Linked DNA regions of Oryctolagus cuniculus. The protein of the gene in region 1 interacts with the protein of each later gene in a biochemical or structural test. Links are inferred from orthologs where the notes say so. Each region holds a gene or a part of one and is shown on either strand. Other genes may lie near its edges.

Evidence for each region.
Region 2: the proteins of BCL2L1 (region 1) and HRK interact in a biophysical measurement, tested with the Homo sapiens proteins (3 studies listed by BioGRID and IntAct, with this or other methods). The link is inferred for Oryctolagus cuniculus from reciprocal best matches to the Homo sapiens genes BCL2L1 and HRK.

Annotation. Positions count from the first base shown.
Region 1 is NC_091442.1:25,993,470-25,997,346, forward strand, and holds the start of BCL2L1 (bcl-2-like protein 1), read left to right. Parts: upstream 1-928; coding exon 929-1,492; intron 1,493-3,877. UniProt on the Homo sapiens protein: Potent inhibitor of cell death. Inhibits activation of caspases. Appears to regulate cell death by blocking the voltage-dependent anion channel (VDAC) by binding to it and preventing the release of the caspase activator, CYC1, from the mitochondrial membrane.
Region 2 is NC_091452.1:13,255,567-13,259,468, forward strand, and holds the start of HRK (activator of apoptosis harakiri), read right to left. Parts: upstream 2,341-3,902; 5' UTR 1,588-2,340; coding exon 1,312-1,587; 3' UTR 1,256-1,311; intron 1-1,255. UniProt on the Homo sapiens protein: Promotes apoptosis.

The DNA.
Region 1 (3,877 bases):
CAGCTTTCTCCTCCCCGCGTCCCTCATCGAAACCCTGAGCCCCATTGAGAAGTCCCTTCAGGGTTTCGGGAACCTCCCCCAGGGCTGGTACTTAAATAGACCGGAGTGAAGGAGGAAAAAAAAAAAAAGAAAGAAAGAAAAACCTTAAGCCTACAGCAGCCACCTCCGGGAGAGTTCTCCTGGCTCCCAGTAGGAGGCGGAGAGCCAAGGGGCGTGCGAGAGCGAGGGGGCTGGGCTCCCGGGTGGCTAGAGGCCGCGGGCGCGGAGCGGAGCGGAGCGGCGGCCCTGGATCCCGGCAATGGAGGAGCAAGCCAGCAAGCGGGCTGGTTCCTGAGCGTCGCAATTCCTGTGTCGCCTTCTGGGCGCCCAGCCTGCCGGGTCGCATGATCCCTCCGGCCGGAGCTGTTTGTTTCGCCAGCCGCCGCGAAGCCGGCTGAGTTACCGGCATCCCGGCCTGCCGCCACCTCCTCTCCCGACCTATGATACAAAAGATCTTACGGGGGTGCACCTGCCTGCTGTCGCCGGCTTAGACGGAATTGAATGTAGGTGGTGCGGGGGCGGCGGGTGGTGGTGGGGGGACTGCCCATGGGGTGACTTTCCGAGGACAGCGTTTCGGAGAAAAAGGGGTGGCTGGGATAAAAGAGGCCAGTGGGATGATTCAGAGCCCAGTGGTGCTTACAATTTGACTTCATTGAAGTCTCGTGGAACCTAGACCCAGACCTTCATAGGAGCCACAAAGAAACGAGTTTTGGTACCTGGAAGGGGAAGGGGATGTTGCGGGGGGAAATGGCATTTATACTAATTTTTTTTCTTTCCCTAAAGCTCTTTTTCTCCCTTCAGAGCCTTATTTTGGCTTTGGATCACAGAAGAGAATCCCTGAGCAGGTGTTCTGGACAATGGACTGGTTGAGCCCATCCCTATTATAAAAATGTCTCAGAGCAACCGGGAGCTGGTGGTTGACTTTCTCTCCTACAAGCTTTCGCAGAAAGGATACAGCTGGAGTCAGTTTAGCGATGTGGAAGAGAACAGGACTGAGGCCCCGGAAGGGACTGGACCAGAGATGGAGACCCCCAGTGCCATCAATGGCAACCCAGCCTGGCACCCGGCGGACAGCCCCGCGGTGAACGGAGCCACTGGCCACAGCAGCAGTTTGGATGCCCGGGAGGTGATCCCCATGACAGCAGTGAAGCAGGCTCTGAGGGAGGCAGGCGACGAGTTTGAACTGCGGTACCGGCGGGCATTCAGCGACCTGACATCCCAGCTCCACATCACCCCAGGGACAGCATATCAGAGCTTTGAACAAGTAGTGAACGAACTCTTCCGGGATGGGGTGAACTGGGGCCGCATTGTGGCCTTTTTCTCCTTCGGCGGGGCACTGTGCGTGGAAAGCGTGGACAAGGAGATGGAGGTATTGGTGAGTCGGATCGCGGCGTGGATGGCCACTTACCTGAATGATCACCTGGAGCCCTGGATCCAGGAGAACGGCGGCTGGGTAAGAACCACACCCCTCATTTGTCCCTGTGCTTTGGCCTCTGTCAGAGGACCCCCAGCAGCCTTTCCCTGCAGCTTCTGCTAGTTAGATGACTGTTGGAGGCACTGGCCCCATTTCAGCACCAGACCTGGTTCTTTCCATCTGGGCACCCTCATGACCCTGATCTTCCATGCTTATTTTCCAGTTTCTCAGCACAGAATAGCTGAGGTGTTGATCTGTGAGTGGGGGGTTGGTCCAGTGCCCCCCTCACTCTGGAGCAGTGGCTCTCCATGCTTTGAAAGGGTGACAAGCAGAATGTCTGGAGCAGGTGGTGGCGTGCCGGGGACCCACAAGTCGCTGCGTCCTTTCTTCTCCAGGACTGGCCGTCCTGACCTGGGCTTCCTTCCCTTTATTTCAGAGTTTTCTTATGTGGCCAAGCAGGAGTTCCCCCCAGTGGCTTGGTGGGTTCGGAATTGTCCGATTCTAGGTCAGCGTGGGCTGTGCCACTCGTGTTGGTGCTGCACCTCCTGAGTTGGTGCTGCACACAGCTTGCAACTTTCTGCACGGTTGGCCTGTTTGTGGAGCTCTTGCTGTGTCACGCTTTAAGCCCCAGGACTTTGCACCTCACTCGCTGCCTGGGGTGGGGTGAGGAGCTCCAGCTGCTCTGCCTCTGACTGGCCGGCTGGCAAGGCAAGAAGTCAGTCTGTGGGGCTCTGTGGGCCATTGAGATTTGGTGTCAGACTTTGGACGTGAGTGGGAGCGCCAGCCCTCTCTCTTGGCCAGCTGTGTGACCTTGGACAGGCTCTTTACTTTCTTGAGCCTCAGTTTCCTGCACTGGGAAACGTGGCCAGCTCGCCTGGTCTCGCAGAGTCCTGGAAGCCTTGGAGGTGGCGTGAGCAGAGTGAGGGACGCCAGGGAGCTCCCAGTCCAGACAGGGAGGTGTCTCTCTCCGTCCCTGAGTCACGAGGAGGTGGTGGAGGGACCTTTTGCACCAGTGGTCACTGCAGGCGGGGTTGGTCCTGTTTCCTTGCTGGTCTCCCTGCCCAGGGGAGGTGCGGAACACAGGCATTCTGTTCCCTCAGAAAATGCAGAAAATCCACAGGCTGTGGGGAATAAGTCATCCATTGAGGGAGCAGAGGTGGAAGGGCCGCGCACCTGGACTCAGGAATGCCAGGAATGTGATTGTCGTGGGCTGGGCCGGGGCGTGGCCGGCACTCGGTTTTACCGTGGAGCCAAACCTCCTGAGTTTCTCCTGGAACCCCACCCCCTGGCTCGTTTCCCGTTTCTTTGCAACTTCAGCTCATCTCCTCAGCAGGCTCTTGAAAAAGGCTAGGGGGTCAAGTCAGTAGGCGACGGGGTGGGGGTGGGGGTGGGGGTGGGGGTGGGGGTGGTAGAGGCCGGAGGCTCCCTGGAGCTAAGGCTGATAGACTTGAAAAGCCATTCTGTAAATGAACTCCCTGGGGGATAAATGATTAAACAGTTCCTGTTGGGTTTTGTGTGATGACCTCTCCTGGTCCCTCCTGCTTTGATTCTCTTTGGGGGCAAATATTTGTTCAGCTGATTCCAGGATTCCAGTACTACAGACACACCCTCGGAGGCATCTCTGTGGAGGGACGTGGGCCAGTTGCCCACTTTGCCTTGACCACTGTCTCTGGCCAGTGGTCCTAATACCAGGTGAGTTGTGGCCAGCTATAAACAAAAGGCAGGTTGGGAGAGGTGCCTGGTCTGCCAGCCAGTCTGCAGAGGGCCGTCCCAATCAGAGAATTGCCAGCAACCCAGCGTTGCGGGTGAAAAAGGTCTAAAACCCAGCAGGCCTGGGCCCGTCCATTCGCCCGCCACTGGATGGAAATTCCACCTCCCATCGCCTCGTTGAAAAATGTCAGAGCCCGTTGGACAACATACCACACACACACACACAGTCACACTCACACTCACACACACACGTCGCTTCCTCTTAGTGAACACAGAGGACGTGTGTAGAAGAGCGAGTTGTGTCAGAACCATTCCTGGGAGTGTGTTCTTCCCCTGAGACCAGTGGGTGAAGAACATTTGAGTCAGAGCCCTCCGAGCGAGCCGGGAAAGGTGCCACCCTGCTCTGAGCAGCAGTGACTGGCTACTGCAGTAGCAGCTCAGCCTGGAGGCCTCAGCTGAGGGATCCCTGAGCGTAGGAGTTACGGGCCACTCTGCCTGCCGACGGATGTTGTCTAAATTTGGCATCGTCACAGGAAAGGGAAGGAAATTAGCCTTTACGGAGACCCTCCTATGTATTAGGCATTGTGTTAGGTTCTTAAGCAATGAGTTTGCTGAGCGTTTACGGAGGTGGGCAGGGCGCTAGGTGTTGGCCATAACCAGCCATAGGCCCTTCCCTTGTGGAATTGGCATGCTGTTTCCTGTCTTCCCATAGTG
Region 2 (3,902 bases), on another chromosome or scaffold:
CGCCCGGGCTTCGCGGGCCCACGCGACATCTGTCGCCCGCGCTCCCGGCTCACACCCCGCGCACCCCCGCAGCTCCCCCGGCGCTGCCACCCCCCACGCTCCGGCTGCCGCCTCTCCCCGCGGGCGCAGACGCTCGGGCCTCGCCCGCGGGCGCTGTGCCAGCTCGCTAAGGTGTGTGCGCCCCGCCAGGCTCGGCCGGGACTCGCGAGCGCGCGGCGTGGCGGGCCCAGGCATCCCAGGGCCTCTGCCATCCCCACCTCTGGTGCTCGCCTTCCACCTACGGTGGGGTCTGCCCGAACCTCTCCACCCTCATTCTCTGTCGCTTCACTACTCCAGAACCTGGAGAGAGGATCCTCACAATTGCGCTCTCCCAAAGCGCCAAGCACACAGCCAGGGCTCATGAACTTCTCCGCCTAAGGACTCGTACCTTTCTCCCACCGATGCCAAACAAATTAGGCACTCGATACTCACTTCCCATCTCCACCCCCGCGCAGCGCCCAGCAGACAGCAAGCTCTCAAAACGCCCCCTCCCTAAACAAAGCCCGGCATCCCGAGAGGAGCTCAATGAATGCTCCTGATTCAGGCTTCCCCTTGGAGGTTCCCTAAATCTCCAATATCAGCCCTCGGCTGGGACATCTCATTGCAGCTACGCCGTGTGGGGACTAAGAGGCCAACCAGCTCCTCACTCCGGACAGCTTGCTGGAGAGGCCCGAAGTTGGCAGCGCGGAGCAAAACTGCAAAGTGCGCGGGCCTGGAGGAGATCAAAGCGAACAGCCAGAATCCTGGAGGCGGAGGAAGTGGCGCGGTGCGCTCTCAGGGCGCGCGACAGTGGGGATCCGAAACTGGGGACGTGGGTCTTACGGGGAAGGGGGTCGGGAGCAGAGGCGGCGGGGAGGACAAGCGGCTTGGCAGAGGCCAGGGATTTGCCTTGAAACTGCGATGGGTGATTCTCTGGCTGGGTGGTGACTCCGTTCTCAAAGCAGGGGCACTTGGTACCTAAGTCGAGTGTCTACTTGTGGGGCTGGTGGGGGCTGCGGAGGCTCAAGTGCGCCAGATCCACTGCGCTGGAGGGAACCGCAGGATGAGCTCAAGGCGACGGACGGAAGCGGACAGAGAAGTGGCCCTGCCGCTCGGAAAGATATGGGAACCAAGATCCCTGCAAGGCAAGGGAGCAGAGGAAGAAGGGGAAGCGACGCTACGAAGCCCGAACTTGCCCCTCTCCCGCGCTCTGGCTCTCGCTCACTCGCTCGCGTACCTGTTGCTCGCTCCGGCTGGGTCTCGGCTCCGGCCCCACCAAGAAGCCCCGCGTTCCTACAAGTTCCGCCTGCCGAGCAGCCAGGCCGCCAGCGCCGCCACCTGCGCGGCCGCGCACAGCCAGGGCCAGTAGGTGGGGAGCGCGCCGGGCGCCGGCGCCCTCCGGCTCCGCGCGCGGCGCCGCCACATGGTGCGCTGGTGCAGCTCGTCGCCGAGTGCCTTGAGCCGGGCGGCGGTGAGCTGCGCGGCGGCCGAGCGCAGCCCCAGGCGGCCCGCGCTGCAGGCGCACACGGCCGGGGGGCCGCGGCCACGGTGCAGGGGGCACGGGCACATGACCGCTCGCCTCGCTCCCTCCGCGCGCTCCGGCCGCCCCTCGCCTCCTCTCCCTCCGGCCTCTGCGCCCGCCGCCGATGCGCTCCAGCCGCCGGGGGCCTCCCCTGGACACCAAGTTTCTCCTTGTGTAGTGCGTTTGTTGTGCTGACGGAGCTATTATTAATTAAAGTGTCACATGGTGGATGGGGGCGGGGAGGGAGCGGAGAGGGGGGTTACATCATCCGGCCCCCGGGGGGGGGGGGCTGCAGGCAGAAGAAACCGAGAGGTAACTTTTAACCCTAGCATCGCCGGCGGCGAGGGGGCGCGTGGTTTGGGAGAGGTGGGGCGCGCGACGCTGGGACGAGAGCAGGCGCCCCGCGGCGGAGAGCTTGGGCTTTGAGGGGTCTCGGGGGGGGGGCACCCCCGCGGAGACGAGGAGCGCGAGGGAGACGTTTTCTCCTTCCCCTTATCCTGATTTCAGCTCCAGTTCCGATTTGGCGGAGGCAGCAGGCTTGTTGGCCGCTGTGGATGAAGCGGATAGAAGAACTGGGCAGTACCGTTCAGAAACAACCCCCAGGCTGCTGTTTGGTTCTAGGGGAGGTGGGTGGATTCTAAGTCTGGCGGAAGGTCCAGAGGCAGCCCAGCCTGCTTCATTTCGGGTCCGCCTTGGCACCTGTACGCCTTTGGGTGTGAACACACACCCCCGCACGGCTCCGCCCGCAGCCTAGACCCTGCCGAGCGCCTGGAGCGCCGCTGGAACCCTGGAGGAGGGCGAGGGTGGGGACTGGAGGGGTCTGGCCAAGGTCGGGTGCGCGCACAGCGCCCGAACCCCGAAGACCCTCACAGGGGGGCTTTCTGCATGGGAACTTGATTTTTGTCTGCTTTCTTGGTGAATTTTTTTTTCCCCTGCTGGGGTTAAAGTTGCTAGCAGAGACGTGCGCGGTGGAGACCCGAAGGGACCGGCGAAGGTAAGGGAGAGGGAGGGGGGATGACTCTGGCCCTCCTCTTTCCTATCCTAGGGCGGTCGCTGTTCTGCAGACTACAACATGTGGTATTGTCACTCTCAGGAGTCTTTGGAGAACGAGACCTCTCCGGTCTTAAAGCACGGGGATTCAGGCCATTGGAGGCGCCGCGGCTCGGAGCCTGTGACCTGGAAGCTGTCCGGAGGCTCTCCTTTCCCTCCTTCCCACCAGCAGAGGTTTGCCAAGCTCTGAGGAGTCCTTTGGTGCCTTGGAAGAGCTACCTCAAGATCAGGAACTTAGCTCTGGGCTGGATGTGTCAGGCGGAGCCTGTCCTTGGCTTGTGGAGAAATGACAGAGGCCAGATCCCAGCTGGGCCATGTGCTCTCGATGGCCTGTGCTCCCACCCAGCCCTGGTTCTCCTGCCCTTGACAATGGCCAACACTCACTGAGCATCTTCTAGGTCAGGTGCCCTGCAGATGGGCTCTTGCCTGGGCTACCCAAAGTGAATTTCACAACTATCCTAGTGAAGAAACTGAGGCACGACGGGGAAGGCCTGAGGGCACAGCTCCCTAGTGAAAGGCGAAGCGTGCGTCTGGGTCTGCAGTAGGCTCTGAGCCGTTAACCATGGTTTTATACTGCCCCCTGTAATCTAGGAATAATAATACCTCCCTCCCAGGATTGGAGCAGAGATTAAATGAGAGAAATGTATGCCAAGCACCTGGCATGCGGCGGGCCTTGGATAAACCTTGGTTCTCTTTGCTTTTTGGCTAGATCCACTCCCCCATTCTCCTGGGACTCACCTCCTTAATCCCCGCTAGTCTTTGCAGGGGGGACCTGATCCATTGCCCGGGTGTAGCGTTCCAAGAATGAAGATACAGTGTCTATTTAAAAAGCCCTTTGGATTTAAATCGAACAATCCCCCCCCCCTCCTTTTTAATCTGCACGCTTTTAACGGCTCACTTCATGGACATTAATTTTAATGGGACGATTATTACCCTGTTTGGATGCCTGCCCCCTCAAAATGCTGGGCTCCCAAGGTGGCGCTGGGTCGGGTCCCAGCAGCTTGGATGTTTTCTACAGCAGAGAGAGTGCAGGCTTGGCCACGGGGATGCAGCATTCAGCAGGAGAAGAGGATGATGGAGAAGTGGGGACAAGGCAAGACCTCCCTCTCCTAGCACCCTGCATCTGAGCGCCCCTCATCTGCTCGCACCAGAGTTCTCCTAGCCCACCCCACTGCTCACTCACTGGTGAACTTGGCCTTGAGATGTGGCATTGTGGAGCTTCCATTTCATTAACTGCAAAGTACAAATAATAATGGTAGCAACAGTCTCACAGGTTTGAGTAAGACCCTACCAGGGGCCGGTGCTGTGGCAT